Cricetulus griseus: one gene and its partner. The protein of the gene in region 1 interacts with the protein of each later gene in a pairwise test. Links are inferred from orthologs where the notes say so. Each region holds a gene or a part of one and is shown in the gene's direction. Other genes may lie near its edges.

Region 1 (3,819 bases):
TAAGCCTCACTGCTTACACTGCCCTTGGGAAGAGCAGTGTGCATCCTTCAGATACTGGCTTTACAGACTTATGCCCACAGAGAGGAGAAACTCTAAACTATAGAGTCTATAGTCCTTTATTTTAAGTTAGTGTCTTATTTATACTTTGCTTGTTTTCCAGTTTCCTAAAGAGAATATGTGGTTTTCAGAACCATTGTAAAGGGACAAGTGTTACTAAAAGGAGAAGCAGGTGCATGCTGGGAGGAGAGGCAGGTGCATGCTGGGAGGAGAAGCAGGTGCATGCTGGGAAGTGCTGTTCCTTCTTCCCACAGACAAGCATGTACTTCCGAGGGTTCTTACTAAAATGGTTGAGCAGAGCAGGTGAGTGTCGATATCACTGAGAAGCATATGTGTCAAGGAGCGCCAGGCCCCACCTCCAGATGCTCTGCATTAGTTGGCTCGGGCAGGATCCAACATCTGGGTTTTTAATAAGCTTCCAGAGTGACTGGGGAGTCATAGGAAGATTTCATCACCTTGGGAGGACCTCGAGTGTGGTGCTGAGTAGTTCACATGAGATTTGGAAAGTGTGCCTGTCAGAAATAGTGATGCCCTTGTTTTCTTTCCATTCAGATGGAATGAGCAAAGAATATAAGTATCTGAAGAATATGTTTCACATGTATCAGGTGAGATTCAGAGTTGTCTGATAGATTCTGAGAGGATGAGAAGCAAGGCTCATCTCTGATTGACAACATGTAGAGATTCTAACATCTTTCCACCACAGTGTCACTACTGTACCCAGCAGGAAGCATGAACCAGAGGCTTCCATGCTTGACAGACCAACCGTGCAAATCTGAAGAGGTCTATTGAAAAAAACTGTTTGTGGTCATCAAAGTAATAGCTGTTGACGGTTTTTCAAAAAGGAAATGGGGGGAGGAGAGAAGGGCTAGAGAGATAGCTTAGCAGTTAAGAGCACTGGTTGCTCTTCCAGAGGACCCTAGATTCAGTACCTACATGGTAGCTCAAAACTATCTCTAACTGCAGTTCCAATGCCCTCCCTCTTCTGGCTTCCTCAGGCACCAGGCATACACACAATGCACAGACATAGGTGCAGTCAAAACACTTATCCACATAAAACAAGTAAGTGTCTCCCCCCACACACACAGTGGAAATAACCAACAACAGCAACACCTAAAAGAAAGAATTGTCACTCACCAGAGGTGACCCCTGCAAATACCTGTGCTTTGCTTTAACTTTCACTGAGACTATGGCATAGCGAATCTATGTACATTTTTGTATCTTTTCACTGGGCATATTAGTGCCTCTCCTTCCTTTTTCATGACTGCCCATCCTAATGAACATGCCTTCGGCATCTCTCTGTCCCCTTCCTGTTGACCATGTGCTGTTTCGGTCACTTGCTGTGATGGAAAATAGCACTTTGAACACAGTTGATCCTAGCAGTGGAGTACTAGTCATGCTAGTCAAAGGAATGAACAGATTTAAGGCCTTTCACGGATTTGGTCACGTTGCTATCCAAAAAGTCTGTCGCATTCTACACAGTCCATGAACTCAACGCTGGAGTTATTTCAGAACATAGCCCATTCCTTTCATCCCTGAGCTGGTTGGCTTTTTGTCAGCGTGACACAAACAGGAGGAGGGAGCCTCATTTGAGAAATTGCTTCCATCGCCTGTGGACAAGTCTGTGGGCATTTTCTTGATTAATAACTCTTGTGGGTGAGCTCAGCCCACTGTGAGTGGGGCCACCTCTGGACAAGTGGGCCTGGGGTGTATGTAGAAGCAGGCTAGGCAAGCCATGGAGCCAGCCAGTAAGCAGCACTTCTCCATGGTCTTTGTATCGGTTCCTGCCTTGAGATCCTGCCCTGACTTCACTCAGTGATGGAATAGAATGTAGGAGTATAAACTAAATAAACCCTTTCCTGCCCAAGTTGCTTTTGATCTGTCTGTTGTCACAGCAATGGAAAACAAAATAGGACAATTCCCCAGACTTGATCAAGTTCCAGAGTTGGAGCTAGCTCTCTTACAGGAAAATGCAGAATCGGATGTGATCTCTGAAACAGAGAGCCTTTCCTGTCTTCAAAGGAAGTTGAGATCCAGCTTGGCAAACGCTGTTTGAAGTTTGTAGATAGCCCTTTGACCCTTGAGCTTATCCTAGTTCCCCACTGAGCTTAGCTGGGGCTGGAGAGATGGCTCAGCTGTTAAAGGGTAGGCTCATAACCAGAAACATAAAAGTTTAGCCGGAATTGTTTTTAAGTATCACCCACATAGGGGCCCCTTGGTGATGCCCAGTTGAAGGGAGAGCAAGGTCCCAGTGCTCTGCTGAGTGCCCAAGGGTGCTGTCAAAGCATCTGCAGTGCCCACCCCCATGTTATAGCTCTTTTCAAAGTGCCTCTGTGCCCCCACAGGATAGCGTTTATGATGAAATGGAAGATACATGGTCCAGGCGGAAGGCAGAATGGGAGAAGGATGAGAAGATGGAGCGAGAAAAGATTCTGTTGCAACAAAGTGAGTAACACAGAAACTACTGGCCTTTTCAACCATAACAAGAGTGTCAAACACAAAAACAAACAAAACCTGCTGTCAATCTTGACCTTGACTTGAGGGAAGGGGCCCTGGATTTACCAAGGGTGAAAGGCCAGATGATGAACTTTCTGAATGAACGGTGCCTTGCATTGCTAAGAAACAAAGGACACCGAGGGCAAGACTTGTTTTGTTGTTGCTGTTGTTGTCTGTTTAGTTGGTTTTTGTTTTTGTTTTTTTTTTCATTTCAGACACATTATTAATGAAGGGATCCAAAACTTACATGTTCAACCATCATGGGTTGGAACAAATATGGGAACTGGGACCTATAAAGAATGTGGAATCTAAAATCCAAGGAGGAATTCTAGAATTAGAATTTAAATTATTCAGCTGAGGGGGAGAACAGGGCGGGGAAAGGGGTGGGGACAACACAAGTCTGTTATACTGACAGCCTCCATGTCCCCCACATACCCCACAATAGAAGCCATGATTGGTAAGTATTTTCAATATTTCTAATACTTGGCTAGAGCTTAGATCAAAATGCCATACAGATGCAGTTCTCACTCACTGAGCTTCCTAGGAAAGGAAGAAGGAAGGGGTAGAAATTGTCCGGGGGGGGGGGGGGCGCAGCTGAAGAGATGGCTCAGAGGTTAAGAGCACTGACTGCTCTACCAGAGGGCCTGAGTTCAATTCCCAGCAACCACATGGTGGCTCACAACCATCCGTTATGAGACCTGGTGCCCTCTTCTGGTGTGCAGATATACATGGAAGCAGAATATTGTATACATAATAAATGAATAAAATCTTTAAAAAAAAAAAAAAGAAATTGTCCCTGGGTCTAGAGGAATAATTGAGACAGGTGTGAGCCTTCTACACACCTATTCCAAAGTCTATGCCAGCTCCATTCATTGTACATTTATTGGTTAAAATCCAATTAATCACTTAAATACAAAGGTTTCTGGGAAAGTCAGCTCTCCTAGTAAGGACTGCCCAGGCTTGGCAGCATGAGGATGCTGGAATTGAGGCTGGAACGAGATATGGAGGTACATATGTATAGGGCTTTTCCTGGGATACTGCATCACCAGAAGAGCTCCACATTGAAGAAAAGAAAAAAACTAAGTCAGGGTGCAACCCCAGTTAGCTTTACATCATGTAGCCCACTGGAGTTACCCAGTCAGCCCAGAGACACCCACCATCCCTGTAGCTGGACACCGAGGGAATTTGTGTTTGCTCTTCCCTTCCTCCTGTTTGGTCCTGGGGCTCTGCTGCCAGATCTTCCAGCCCTAAATACAATGAGCCTACCTC
Region 2 (3,340 bases), on another chromosome or scaffold:
ATACACTTAAAATAGCATAGCCCACCCATTTTGAGCTGTGAAAATGGTCATTTTTTTAGGTTCACCCTGGAAAGTCCTCACCACCATTCTAAGGAAGAAATGTACCTTGGCACTCTGGAGCAAGTTAGGAATTTGCCAAAGACACACAGCAATTCCCTGAAGCCCCCATATTTTTTCCATCCTGGTAATTTCTTCTGATGGAAAGTTCTGGAAAAGGTTTCAGCACCATGTCTTTCTACCTACATCCAATCAGGTTTTATTCTCCAAAAACTGGGCCATGGAACCAAGCACAGCTTCTGGGCCACTCCTGGGGTGCCTGGCACCGCCCACATGTGTGTTTCTGGGACAGACCGGTGGCTCAGAGAAGAAAGGGTTATGAAACAGGAATGACCTGGAAAAGCAGGCTGTGGGGCTATGTACTGACCAGCCATGCAGAACGCTGCATCCCAAAGATGGCTGTGAGGTTGAGAGGACCTGGGGCTTGGGGCCTGAGTCTGAGCTTCCGGGCTATGTGACTTTGGACAAGTATCTTGCTATCTCTGGACCTCTGTTTGCCAACTAGGTTCAAAGCTGATGGCAGGATCAGCACAAATGTGAATGAGGACTTTGGGTCACAGTCTGGTTCCTGGCACTTGAGCCAAGTGTCACAAGGAAGATGGCAATTGAGTTTATCAGTGGCAAAGAGCATATCAAGAAATCTTGTGCTAAGATGTGGAGGTGGGAAGTGTGGGAAGGAGGGGCTCACACCAAACCACTCTGTCCTTGAAAATCAGGCCTGGATAGACTCTGTCCCACATTCTGGGGAGTCACTGAATCGGGGAAGCTAGGGAAGAGTGGCGGAACTGAAGGGCTAGGAAGGAGGCTGGAGCAGGCAGCCTCGGAAAGGGCTTGCAGACGTGAGGGTCTGCGAGAGAGAGGATGTGATGTGGGCTAGGATAGGGATATTGGGGACCTAGAGATGAGGACACGGGAAAAAAAAAAAAAGGCATGACAGGTATCTGGGCTGAGGCAGATAGGGTAGGGTAAACCCTAGAGACCGGTGCTGGGATGTTGGGAAGGGTCAAGGAGTCTCTCCCACAACTGTCCACTTCTGACATACAACAGGGTTCTCTGTAAGCTGCAGGGCTGACCTCTGCCAACTTACACTCCCCCACCCCCTGCAGAATCCTCTAGAATCCTGGAGGACAGGGAGGCCCAAAGCTTTGACTTGGAGGTGGGGAAATTGAGACAAAGAGTCAGGAGCCCCTCCAGTCCACCCAAAGTGGTCCCCACTCTACCGATTATTCCTCTTTCCACCCCAGGACCTTCGAGGCTCCGTGCAACGCCTCTGCGAGTTCCTGGGCCGGCCACTGGGTGAAGAGGCCCTGAGCTCTGTGGTGGCCCATTCTGCTTTTGGTGCCATGAAGGCCAATACGATGTCCAACTACACACTACTGCCAGCCAGCCTGCTGGACCACCGCCAGGGGGCGTTCCTGCGCAAAGGTACCACTGTGTGCTTCTAGGTAGTTCATAGCTTTGGTGGGCCTTTATTTTTCCAGATGCCATATGGAGTGTACAGGGTCACCTAGCCTAGTCTTCACTCTTAGCAAGAGGTCTGGCATTCCAGGTTCCTGCTTGCTAACCTGCCTCCATCTGGGTGTCTCCCTGGAACGAAGCCTCCTGAGTGCTTCCATATCTGGGTTCCCAGGATCCTGTGTATTATACAGAATAATTAAGTATTTAGTCGGGTGTAGTGGTGCTCACCTACCAAAACCAGCCACACAGAGTTGAGGCCAGCTTGGACTACTTTAGACTCTGTCTCCAAACAAAGCAGGACCAGGTGGTCCAGGCCGGTCCCTCATCTCCAGGCCCTGTTGCCATGTGGTTTCATGTTCTAAATTCCAAGAATTGGGAGTGAGGATATCTAGGTATATCAGTCCCCCTTGGGGAACCTCCTGGCCTCACCAGAGGTGACATGACATGTAACTAAAATTCAACAGGCTATTCAAATGGTCCTTTTCCACACAGGCAAGGGGTAGACCCTAATAGTCACTGTGACATGAGGGACCAGCACTCATGATGGCATGCTTGTGGGGCATCTTGCTGAGATGAGGCAGCTCAAAGGCTTTGGAAACCTCAAACTGGTCCATTTGTGTACAGCCTTCAGAGTGCCTGGTCCCTGGGGTGCTCTGGCCGTCAAGTCACATGGCTAGAGGCCATGTTGGGTACCTGAGAGGTACTATGTGCTGGAAGCAGCAGCTCCTAGGGGAGGTGACACACAGGTTATAAAGTGGGTGTTTGGGTGCTAGGAGGGAAGTGAGTTCCCAGAAGAGATCTGGGAGGCCACAGGTCAAAAGGACAAGGCTGACAAGAGTCACCTAGATGTGAGAGAAGGAGGCAGTAAGCATGGGGGGATCTGGTTAGGTGGCACAGATGGTATAGTTGGTCATGGTGAGTGGAGGCAGAGGGGGACACCCCAGCAGCTCCTCAGTGGTCCCTTCCTCTGGTCCCTTCCAGGGATCAGTGGTGATTGGAAGAACCACTTCACTGTGGCACAGAGCGAGGCCTTCGACCGTGTCTACCGTGAGCAGATGCGGGGACAACCAAGCTTCCCCTGGGACATGTCCCCAGAGGACACCAGCCCTGATGGCGAACCTGACCCTGAGCCCAGCCCCAGCCCCAGCCCCAGCCCCAGCCCCAGTCCCAGCCCAGGATCCTCTGATAACCCTGACCCAGCATCCTCACAATAAACCTATCAGTCCAATTGCCCTTTCCTCCACGCCACACTGTCAGGGGCAAGTGGGAGACGCGCCACAGACAGAATGCAAAAGTGCCACAGAGGGCCAGTGAGACTAACTTCTCATCCCATTGCTTGGGAGGTAGAGGCAATAGGATTGCAAATTCACATTCAGCCTGGGTTACTTGGTGACCATATGAAAACAACATGAAAGGGGTGTGGAGACCCACACTGGGCATGAACTCAACAGGGATGCCAGGCTGGGGCCTGACCCCTGGACCTGGGGGGTGGGGTGGGATGGAACCCTGGGTCTGAAAGAGGACTGGGGAGGGAGCTGTGGGGAGGGACTCTGGAGTTGGGAGGCTGGGGGAGGGGATGGCTGGGTTTGAGAAAGCCATGGAGACACATGCCTGTGTTGTCAAGAGTTTAATCTGAGCAGAAATAGAGGGAAGCATTCTGATGCTTTCCCTCAGTTCCCACAAAAATCCCGGACATACCCAGTGTCTCAGTGTCCCTTGTTCATCAGCCTTGCTCCTCCCCTTCACCTTCATCATAGTTAGTGCTCCTCTCCTGGACTCACTCTACCCACTGCCTATACATAGGTGGGGGTGCCTCTCCTCTGGG

What was found.
Region 2: the proteins of Flacc1 (region 1) and Sult2b1 interact in binary tests that used the Homo sapiens proteins (3 or more experiments, as listed by UniProt). The two-hybrid records come from large-scale screens. The link is inferred for Cricetulus griseus from reciprocal best matches to the Homo sapiens genes FLACC1 and SULT2B1.

The regions. Positions count from the first base shown.
Region 1 is NC_048595.1:413,152,861-413,156,679, reverse strand, and holds part of Flacc1 (flagellum-associated coiled-coil domain-containing protein 1), read left to right. Parts: intron 1-609; coding exon 610-662; intron 663-2,399; coding exon 2,400-2,499; intron 2,500-3,819.
Region 2 is NC_048599.1:154,631,371-154,634,710, reverse strand, and holds the end of Sult2b1 (sulfotransferase 2B1), read left to right. Parts: intron 1-1,301; coding exon 1,302-1,482; intron 1,483-2,496; coding exon 2,497-2,729; 3' UTR 2,730-2,735; downstream 2,736-3,340. UniProt on the Homo sapiens protein: Sulfotransferase that utilizes 3'-phospho-5'-adenylyl sulfate (PAPS) as sulfonate donor to catalyze the sulfate conjugation. Responsible for the sulfation of cholesterol.